Linked DNA regions of Drosophila melanogaster. The protein of the gene in region 2 interacts with the protein of the main gene of each other region in a pairwise test. Each region holds a gene or a part of one and is shown on either strand. Other genes may lie near its edges.

Region 1 (7,793 bases), on a different chromosome or scaffold from region 2:
AACTGAATGACTTTGTTCTTTTCTTGGAACCTATGTTAGGAACTACATCAGCTTGTAACGTTAGTATAGTTAACTACGATAAATGCGATTGGGACGTTTCTCTTTTAGAGTAATTTAGTCTAAAAATCATGGTATTTGGGCTAAAAGCACACACTCGACTTATTCTATACAAACATATGGTTTTCTCCATCCGTTTATGCGGATGGATTCAGTCGGCATTTGAATGCTACAAAAATTCACTCACACTCAGTCTCAAGCACACAATTATGATCGACTTAAGTTTAATTGTTAAATAAAAACAAGATTAAACAAATGCGTGGAGAATGTTTACAACAAAAGATCGCGAAATATTTGAAAATACATTAGGGATAACGATTTTCGGCCTCAGTCGGCAAAATGATTTTGTTAATATAACAATTTCCATATTAATTGCACGCACAAGTGCAATAATTTTGTAATTTTTACATACAATTTTGTTGTACAATTATAAAGTCATTAACTAATAAGATGTTTTTTTTTTTATATAATAAGAGTACAAGAAGACACACAATACAAGACAGTTTTGGTAAAGGTTTTTTCTGGAACAATTCTTTTTTTCATACGTTTATGTTTTATTAAATAAACCGAAATTTTAGAGTACAATAATATTGAAATTCTGCTGCGAAGACGGCGGTGCAGGAATGCTAGTTGTTTGTTGTTTGATGATCCAGTGCGCATCAGTGTCTATAATGTCCCACGCTGACTGTCCCCTTGGCTTCTCCATCGATCCTCCTGCTACTGCTGCTGACTTCGGTCTGCCGGTCTTGATGTTGCCAGGATTCTGTGATGTGAAGTTGGATGGATCCAGAGGCAGTCCCCGTCCGTCGTTGGTAAAATCTTGTCAGCATTTCGGCTTATTATAGTATGTCTAGAAGAACTATGCTGTTTGCCATATTCATATCCTACGTATTGGTAATGTTAGATACAAATCGAAAATCTGTTAATTGTGGCTAGCTTGTCATCCCACCAAGCTGCGGCTTATTGTTTGTTAATAGAGTGTGTTTAGTATATCTGTGTTGCATCTTTACACTTGATTACGGGTCCACTGGCGATGGTTCCAACTTCCACTTACGGCAGTCAATGCCGGGAACGGTGCTCCTCACGCCTGTCGCGATCACGCTCCCGCTCGCGGTCGCGGTCTCGATCGCGGTCGCGTCGCTCACGGTCCGAGGAGCGGTACCTTTCCCGATCCTCGTAGTAGCGCTTCGATGATGGCGCCTCCGCTGCTTCGGCGACTACGGGTTCCGGCGACTTTCGTGGACGCACCGATCGGCTGTTTTCGGATTATGGGATTGAAATTAACGCAAGGTTTTCATTTCGAGCTTAAAAATAATTCGCTTAATTGTCACCGTATATTGTTGCACAAAAGAGCAAAAATATTCTGATGAGCCTAAACAGTTACAATTCAAGCTAACATCTTTACAGAAAGCTTTTAATGAAAATAAAAAATTTGAAAAGCCTATACCTTAAAAATACTACCTTTTAATAAATTATACATTTTTCCAAATATTTTAAAATAAAGTTTCGTCTGACTTTACAAATCTACACTTGTTTTTACAGCAAAAGTAAAAAATCTGTTTACGAGTGAATAAATTATGAGTTCTATGCTATTTAAATGAAGCACTATGATTAATTAATCAGCAACTTTTAAATGAGACAGTGAAGCGAATTTTTAGAAGTAGAACGTCTTTACCTGTCATCCCTGTAGTGATCTGGAGCCTGGCGTTCACGTTCTCTACTGCGAGACCTCTCTCTGTAGCTTCTAGAAAATGAATACGGAATTAAGTGTGAGGCTTACACATGGTAGAACCAAAACTTACCCGCCATCCCGTTCACGCTCACGATCCCGATCGCGTTCCCGCTCCCGAGATCGCTCGCGGTACCTGGACGTGGAACGCTCACGTCGCTGTCGGCTGCGATGAGATCGCTCCCTCGACCGCGACCTTTCGCGCCTATTGTAGCTCTTGGCCTCGATGCCATGCAACGTGTCCTGCAGCGAGCTAATCAGAATTTTGCATCGCTCATCGTGCGCTACCTTGGACTGTTTGATCAGTGAAATGGCTGTGACCAGTGTCTCGATGGCGCTCGAGTATTCACCAGCGGCTGCATCAGAAACAGCTCTGAAAATAAATTAGCATAAAAAGGGAATTGATATTTGATCAACAAAGTAATTAATTATCTAGATAATTTATTAATTAGACCGGATCTGAGTCATAGTTTCAATAATTGGAATTTTCTATGAATTCGACTTAGGAATGGGTTAGTTTTTAAATAATAACTACAAGTTTTGACCTCGTTAAAGAAAACATTTTAAAAACCTTTGCACTCACCTGGCGATCGCCGAACTGCTGACTGTGCGATTTCTGCTCATCACCTCCTCGAACTCCACCTCCGTCAGTTGCGGACCCATCTGCTGCGGATCGGGGAAGGGACCTGGTGGCTTACCCTGCGGTGGCGGCCACGGACCACGTGGTCCATGCTGGGCGAACTGGGGTGGCGGTCCATGCTGTGGCGTCATGTTCATGCCCTGTTGCGGTGGCATATTCATGCCTGGCTGTGGACCTGGTGCTCCGTGGGGCGGGCCACCCATGCCCGGATGCTGGGCAGGACCACCAGGCTGGTTAAAGAATGCTGGGTTCACGTGGGGTGCGGGTGCGCCGTGTGGTCCGCCCGGACCTGGTGCTGGGGGAAGGCCACGTGGCGGACCTTGCGGCGGGAAACCACCGTGCATGGGTGGACGACGCCAGTCGGGACCTGCCGGACCCCTGACGGGCATGCCCATTGGGCCTCCTTGGAACTGCAAGGCAGAAGAGACAAGATTATTTACTGTTCCCAATGATCGGATCGAATCGGTTTCTAAGCTATAGTATGAGTTTGTGTTGCATGGGTTGATCTGTGGAATTACTGAAAATGTTCTGAATACATCGCTTAAGACTAAGTTAACTAAGGTTAACTTAAGTTGGGTTAGTCTTCCTTTATCTCGCCTTCTCTCTGGCTTCGTTAGAATTATATTATGGCATAGATACAAAGAGGACTCAGTGCTTTGGGGATTGTTACCATTGGTCGCTGCGGTGGTCCGTTCGGTGGACCTGGTCGCGGCCCGCCTGGCCGCTGACCTGGCCATTGGCCCTGCGCTGACGGATACCGGGGTGGCGGCTGTTGGTTCCCCATGAGCCCGCCTTGCGGATGCATTGGCGGCTATATTAATACGAATTACGTTTTATATTGAAGTAGTAGTTGTTGTTGTGGGGTAGAAGTGTGCGTAAGCGTTGTCAAAGACATGGAATAGAACATAAATCGTAATACATAAACATTTTGTATAACAATAGCGGGCCATTATACACAATTACAAATACTAGGGGGGGAAATACATTAACGCAATTAAATCAAAAGTATATATTATTTGAGTGGAACCAGGAAGGCACTGCTCTTGATTTTAATTTATTACATGTGCTTTTTTTTGTTGAAAGTCTATGACTAGAGTACAAAAGGAGTAAAAAGAATACAAACTGCCTTAGGCCGAGGAGTGCTACAAAAAATTGCTCTGAAATTACTTGTGAATTAATAGAAGTAAAGAATAAGAATAGTACTTAAAGACATAAATAAAAATTCTTAGAAACTTAATTTGTACGACAGCTTTAGTTTAGTTTATAAATTATCAAATGAAATACTAACAAGAGATCGGATATTTCAGATTGTTTATATCTCACATCTAAAGTCGTTATTGTTTTCTCTAAATTGTAAAACTAAGTTTCTACGTTTAATTTACAAAAGAATATCGAACAACTGAAGTAGAACATATTCGTTTATAAACTATACATGAAGTCGTATATTTAGGGTTTCTAATTTTACCTAAGTAAGCAAATTTTGCATTCAGAACAATTTTGATGGAAATAGGAAATAATGTAGGAATGTAGAAACAAAACAAATTAGAACCGAGCGATATTTCTACAAACGATGAGACCTCTTGGGGCCATGTGGGGCTAAAACAGTGGTTGTGTACCTGCATTCGTGGAGGTCCTGAGTTGGGTCCGCCCACCTGGGGAACCTGCGACATGTGCTGCGGTCGGTACTGGCCCGGCTGCATGATGGAGTTCATCCCGCGCGGTGGATGTCCCGGTGGTCCACCTCCTTGCGGTCCTCCTGGATGTCCGGTGGGCATTGGCCCGCCACCCATACTGGGTGGTGCCGGACCCCTGGGCGGTCCATTCTGCTGCGGCGGCGGCACTGGACGCGTCTTTTGCAGACTCTCGAATTGGGTGAGTGCCTGCTTGCTGGGATACGTGACCACCGGCGCTTGGCCGTGCATCTCCTTCTTGGGCAGCTGGTCGAGCACGGCGCGCAGGCTAGATTCTGAGCCGAGGGAGATTACACTGAAGCCCTTCGACTGACCGTTGGCCCTGTTCTCAAAAAACTTCACTTCCTGTAGATCACTCACGCCAATGTCTCGCAGCGAATTGGCGATATCCTGGTCAGTGGTCCACCATGTGAGATTGCCCACATAAAGCTGGTAGCGGCGATTCATGGTCGGAGTGAGGCTACCACTGCTCTGATGGTACACCCCATTGGGACCACCGGAATTCCGTTCGCCGGGTTCCCCGGAGCCTGGCCCTGCGGCTCCATCTGCGGAGGGCGTTCCACCGCCCCCGCCACCTGAGGCGGCCGATTCGGTGGGACCGCCTATGTCATCGTATAGGTCTACTCCATCGCCTCCAAATTCGTCCTGTGCGGATAAAGCAAAGTAATTAACAAGTGGGTCAAACTGTTGTGGGAATCCCGTAAAATCGTTAAAAATAAACGATCAAGTCTTGTTTTTTTTACAAATTCGATTTTACTCTATTTTTACTTTAGAATTTTTAGAATGTATAGTTATTGGGATTCGTACAATTCTCTACATTTCCATGGCTAAAGAAATTAAAAAAAATTACGTTTCATTTTTATATAAATATAATATCCCTGCACTCAGTTCCTAGAACCCTACTTTACAAGGTACCAAGTGGTCGAGTTCGCCCAAGACGCCGTTCTACCCCCTAACGCAATTCTTTCGGACATCGATCCACCCTACTGTATACATACACACGCGGCTTGCAGAGCGACTGCCTTTTTCCCATGGCTTACCTGAGCCTGCCCGGCAAAGTCCTTGTCGAGGTCCTCCGCGTACAGATCCAAGACCACGTCGGCCATGTTGAGCCGGAAAAGTTGCTATTCCTAGGCGTAATTACTGATTTTTCACCGCTTTTCCCAATTTTCGCACGCACACTAAGACACTCGCCAATCTTTCCGTCTCTGTCCCACTTGCACTCGCGCCTCGTACAGTTTCTTTTTTTTTGCGGGGGAGGGGGAAGCCGGAGCAGAAACCGGCGTGCTGCTGCGCGATTTAGCCGGGTAATCGCGCCCGCTGCACAATTAATTGATTAATTGCTTTGGCGCGTTGTTTTCCGTTGGGTGAATTCTGTAACTATTTACATTCTACTCGTGCACGAACTAGTTTCTTCAATCTTGCGAAAAAATTGTCAGCGTAAAATGGCGGAGCGGTGCAGTGTGACTGTAAAGCTGAAATGTGGAAAACCTATGCGGTATATTTTTGCTCGCATACTAGAAAATACCACATCCTGTTTGGGGTATTCCGCAATTTGACAGTTAATGAGAATACAACTACGATAAAATATATTTAATGAATAGAATTTAATTAGATGTGTTTGTTACCTAAATCGCTTTATTATTACCATAAAATAATCACAAATACTTGACATCAATTTCCAATTTGACTGTGGTCGTAGCGTGGACACAAACCATTGAAAATATATCGACTTCTATCGAATTTTGAATTTTAAAACCAACCGTTAGAACTTTCTTGAAATGTGTAATAAGTTCATTAGGTTCTTTGTTATTAAAAATCGACATGTGAAAATACTTAACATTCATTACAACACCCATAACAGGCATATCTTAATTTAAATATGCATACTTCTAATAAATTTGCCTTTTTAGGGGACCACCATCACACACACATTAATTTGCATAAATTGTTAATGCTGCCCAAAAACTATAGCCATGCATATATTAGATTTGCAGGTCCAAATAGACGCTGACCGTGTCACTTGCACAACTAGACAGCGCACTTGGCCAGAGCTCCAAATTTAGAATTTAAATATAGCAATTAAGCTGATTTATGCGGCCCGTCTGCAGGTTACAATAATTGCCGCTAACAACTCGGCTCTCCGAAATCTTCGAACTTGCTGGTGGCTGGGAACCGAGGAGATTGTGGCGCCGTCGACTTGGCCACTCGTATGCAAATGCGCGGTGAAAAATTGGGGGAAAAAAAAACCGAGGCAGCATTTTTTAGTCGGGCCTGTGAAAAAAAAGACACATATCCCGAAATCTAGTGCATGATTAGCCATGTTATTCGTGTATCTGATGTTTTTTCATTTTTCTTCTCGTATTTGGGCAGTAGTCCACCTGTTGGTATTTAGTTTTTAACTTTGGCTCTTTGACTCCCATATGTTAGTTGCGTTAATGAATTGCCTTAAATGTCAATTACCACTGGCTTTTATCGTCCAATCTGAACGGACGGCAATTATATTTGCTGCTCTCGCCTCATGCGATTGTGTGTTTAATTAACAAGAGTAATTAAATGGGTAATTACGATCTTTACAGCAATCAATCGATTTTTAAATGCTTCAGCGAATAAAGCTATTGCAGATTGGATTTTCGCGATTTGCATATGTGGAAATGTGTTTCCAATTCAAGGTGGGCGGTTCTTCAAGAGCAATCACGCAGATGGAAATCGACGGATGTTGGTGGCGAGGGTGCAGTCAATTGAAATTCTCGGCTAATCGCTGACATTTTTGGGACAGAATTGGGGCTCAAAGGTGCAACATTGAAGGGGAGGAGACTTACGCACGTAGTATTTATCTTAAATATACTGCACGCTTTTAAAATAACCAACAATAATAGGATAAAAATCAATTGCTATGAAAATATTGCGCATACGCCGTGTGGCCTTTGGCTGGCTATCATAAAAGTCGTATAAGTGTTATTGAATGTTTCCGATCACTTAGATCTACATAATGGCTACCACTCATATCAATTGCCCCCCATCGACCATTTCGGACGTGCGTAAGTCATGTCAAAAATTTATTGCGTGACCATTGGCTGGGATACTTTATCAAAAAGCGGCGCCGCAGCCTAACAAAGTGCCAACTTGCAACTTCCAAGCTTCCAACTGCCCAGTAGCCGTCGTGCCGCTCCACCACCATCAGTTGGGCAATGGATACGCAAAGAGAACATGCATAAATCTCACACCACAGCCGGCCATCAAGTGCACCTACACAGCAGCAGTCATTCGATGCGATTCGATTCGGTTCGGTCCTGGCCAAGTGTCGAGGTGCCAATTAAGGCTACACACTGCTGGGTATTTTGACCATATCATACTGCAAACTGCGAACTGTAAGCTACAAACTGCACTGCATGGATAATTTTTTTAACTCCGTGGAGCGACCGAAATGGACCAGGCCGAGTGTCATTTGATTCTTGTGGCAGGCTGGCGCGTTTCATGCGCCTTTGACATGCAACCAGGGTCCAAATCCAAAGCTCCATGCCGAGTCGGCACAGTTTACACGAATCACCAGCAAACAAAACAAAAAAAAAAAAAGAAAAAAAAAACCACCAGAAACCGACAAAAAGCGAACAAAAAACAAAAAAAAAAAAAAACATTACGAAATTTGTCGTCTGACAAAAAGCTTAGAAAACGA
Region 2 (3,516 bases):
GCCTTGCCCAGCGCACAGATGGTCAGGCAAATGCGCAAGCCCATGGCAAACAAGTAGGCCAGCAGGAAGAGCAGCCAGGCGGCTAGATTCTCGAAAGAGACCGCTGTATAGATGGCCTTTATCAGGACCACAGCCAGCGGAAATGGAATGAAGCCCATGCGTCTGGCCACCAAATCCGAATGATCTGAGAATGCGTGCTTTTGCCGCGTCTGGGTCATATCGTAGGCCAAGCTGGTCGTGTACTCCCTGTAGATGCTCTCCGGCAGCTCATTGAATCGCGTGATAAACGCATGCTTCACCCAATCGATCAGAATTTCCGTGAACAGCACGGCAAAGCAGTCGGGCAGCATTACACAGAACTGGGTGATGCTCCAGTCAAACTCCTTCATGGTCTGGATGACCACAATGAACAGAAGCACAGACAGATGGAATCGCTCTCGTACATCGCTGCAGGTCAATTGGAACAGGTTGTTTTTGTCGAACTTCTTGAACACGGATCCCTTGAGCTCCACGAAATTATTCGATATCATGATGGTCAGCAGGCCCTTGTTGTTGGAGTTCACCGCCACATTCAAACAGGTGGCCTGAAGGAATAGTTTAGAAACCAAACCAATATAATCACAGAGAAAATGTGGTTTATAAAGCTACCATTACTCACCTGAAACATGATCAGTCCGCTGTGCAAGAAGACATAGATTAGCGTGAAGAGAACGTGCGTAAGCACTCCAAAGTGCTCTCGCTTGGAATTCTTTGGTTCTGTCGCCGTCCAGAAGAGAGCATCGATCGTGTCCTGACCAAAAGCGGACAACAGCCGGTCGCCCACCTCCAGCATGTTGTAGAATATGTACAGCTTGATGATCGACTGTGACTTGATGATGTGGTACACCCGATTCGTGTCCACCAGGAGCATTATCAGCGTCACCGTCATCCAGATGACGCCCTTCAGCAGATCACAGATCTCCGCCGGCGATAGCAGCCTTTGTCCGCTGCTGCGTAGTCGAAAGATTCTTGCCACCGTCCTGGAAACTAGGGCCCAAACGGCCATCACAAATCGGACGGGCAGAAAAGTGTGAATGTAGAGAAATGAGTCGGCGCACTGCATGATCCCGTACACCATGAATCGCTCCAGATCCCGCGGTATGCGCATGAAGCTGTAGATCTTCTGCCTACGCGCCGAATAGCGCTCCTCGTCGTGCTCCAGCATATAGCCGCGTGTCATCTCCACTTTGAAGAAGTCGTAGAATGTGTTTGTGCAGGTTTCGGCGGTTCCTGCAAAAATAAAAGAAAAATGAATGATAAGTATGAATCAAATATAAAGTATATGCATAGATTCTAATGATTTAAGTAAAATAGATAACGATTGATTACAAATCATTGATTATACATCCTTATCCTTAGTTAAAACAACTTCAAAAATTGCAAATTATGATATATTAGGTTTTTAAGAGCTTTATCTGGAATTTAAGTTAATTAAAAATCTCTCTAGAACTTTAAATATAGCATCAAATCTAAGGCAAATGTGTATGTTATGATCAAAAGTAAAGTTGCTATGAAATAGCGCGAAACCCAATTAAAATTAGTTAACGTAAATGTCATCCTAAGAACTAAATAATAATAATTCAAAAGAATGTTTTTCCAATCAGTAAATCCGTGTTTACCGCTCTGCAGTCGCTGCTGCGCTGAGCCCGCTGCCGGCGTCGCAGTCGGCGTCGCTGCAACGTCATCCTGGGCGAGCGGCGCCTTTTGCTTCTGCTCCTCCTGCTGCTGATGATGCAGTTCCTCCACTCGGCTGCCGGTGACGTCGCCGCGAAAGCGCAGCTGACGCTTGCCGCCCGCGGAATTGAGTGTGGCGTTCATTAAGTACGGTGTGCGGAGTCCATAAAATTAACAATAACAACGAGCTACAAAATTTCGGGGTGAAACAGCAGTTATATGAAAATGTACTAACGCGTGCCGAAAATACCCAAACGTAAACAGTGTGTGTATCGAATGTACAGAACTATCGCCTAAAGTAACAGCTTAGTTTATATTATATTAACATGGTTAATATTTGCAATGATTTTTATTCTAAGCTTAAAGAATAAGTTCCCGTTAGGGCCATGAGAGAAATTGATATATAAGTATACAACGAATTTTAAAATAATATATTTTTGCTACCCAGTAAACTTTTTATGCACTAGCTCACCGATTCATATTTCAAAGTGCTATCGAAGTATCAGTCAATAGAGTGCCGTCACTAAATAAAAGCAGAGAAAATATTTCAATAGTTTGTAGCTGAAAAATATGTTCGCATCTGTGGAATTAAGCTCATATCGCGATCAGCACTTCAAGGTGAGTACATCCGAAGGCGCCACAGCAGATCTCCGACTCAATAAACCAATTGCAGGGCTCGCGCTCCGAGCAAGAGCGATCGCTCCGCGACTCGTGTACACTTTACGTGGGAAACTTGAGCTTCTACACCACCGAGGAGCAGATCCACGAGCTCTTCTCCCGCTGCGGCGATGTTCGTGTGATTGTGATGGGCCTGGACAAGTATAAGAAGACGCCCTGCGGCTTCTGCTTCGTGGAGTACTATGTCCGATCGGAGGCGGAGGCGGCCATGAGGTGAGCCATATCCATCTCTCCACGCTAGAAAAAGCCGCCTTTTTTCCGGCATTTGTAGAAGTAATCAGATGGGGTATCATTATCTCTTAACTAACTTCAACACTCTTTTCTTCTCCCACAAAAGATTTGTGAATGGCACTCGCTTGGACGACCGTCTGATTCGTGTGGACTGGGACGCCGGCTTCGTGGAGGGCAGGCAGTATGGACGCGGCAAAACCGGCGGACAGGTGCGAGATGAATACCGCACGGATTACGATGCCGGCCGCGGGGGTTATGGCAAACTGTTGTCACAGAAGATTGCACCCAACACGGACAATCGCTAGTTATTAGATAAAATGACTGTAAAGACTATAAGCCCCCCAATTAGATATTAAAGCATACCCCTTAGACATAACATCTCTAATCGCATATATATTGTACGTTTTACATAGTTCTTTTGAAGACGTAATTGATATCATTGCGGCCTAGCATTAGCATGTATGAGTTTCTAGTGTTTTCGGGCTGACTGGATTCCATTTACTTCTTGCCAATGTTGTTGGCCAGCGAGCAGCTGAGTCCGGTGCCATCGGGCTCGACATTCAGCTCGGTCACCTTGCCGTTCTCCACCACCAGCGAGTAGCGCTTTGAGCGCACGCCGCCAAGTGGTGGCAGATCGATGGTCACATCCAGGGCCTTGGTGAAACCGCCGGCGGGATCAGCTAGGAGGCGCACCTTGCCCGCGGCTCCGTGCTCCTTGCCCCAGGCGGACATCACAAAGGGATCGTTGACCGAAACGCAGACAATCTCGTCCACGCCCTGCTTGGACTTCAGCTCATCGGCGGAGCTCACATAGCCGGGCAAGTGGGTCTGTGGGTGTGGGGAAATGCATTATTCAGTTGGAATACATAAGCTGCATAAATTACACTATACTGC

The links.
Region 1: the proteins of Cbp20 (region 2) and Cpsf6 interact in a two-hybrid assay, tested with the Drosophila melanogaster proteins (one large-scale study listed by BioGRID).

The regions. Positions count from the first base shown.
Region 1 is NT_037436.4:8,309,915-8,317,707, forward strand, and holds Cpsf6 (cleavage and polyadenylation specific factor 6), read right to left. Parts: upstream 5,589-7,793; 5' UTR 5,224-5,588; coding exon 5,158-5,223; intron 4,763-5,157; coding exon 4,043-4,762; intron 3,238-4,042; coding exon 3,097-3,237; intron 2,837-3,096; coding exon 2,370-2,836; intron 2,160-2,369; coding exon 1,860-2,159; intron 1,802-1,859; coding exon 1,733-1,801; intron 1,313-1,732; coding exon 1,117-1,312; 3' UTR 579-1,116; downstream 1-578. UniProt on the Drosophila melanogaster protein: May play a role in pre-mRNA 3'-processing.
Region 2 is NT_033777.3:18,162,446-18,165,961, forward strand, and holds Cbp20 (cap binding protein 20), read left to right. Parts: upstream 1-2,215; 5' UTR 2,216-2,283; coding exon 2,284-2,331; intron 2,332-2,386; coding exon 2,387-2,604; intron 2,605-2,728; coding exon 2,729-2,927; 3' UTR 2,928-2,994; downstream 2,995-3,516. Other genes in the region: CG7218 (uncharacterized protein), read right to left, coding at 1-584, 659-1,269, 1,659-1,857; Prx5 (peroxiredoxin 5), read right to left, coding at 3,121-3,450. UniProt on the Drosophila melanogaster protein: Component of the cap-binding complex (CBC), which binds co-transcriptionally to the 5' cap of pre-mRNAs and is involved in various processes such as pre-mRNA splicing and RNA-mediated gene silencing (RNAi).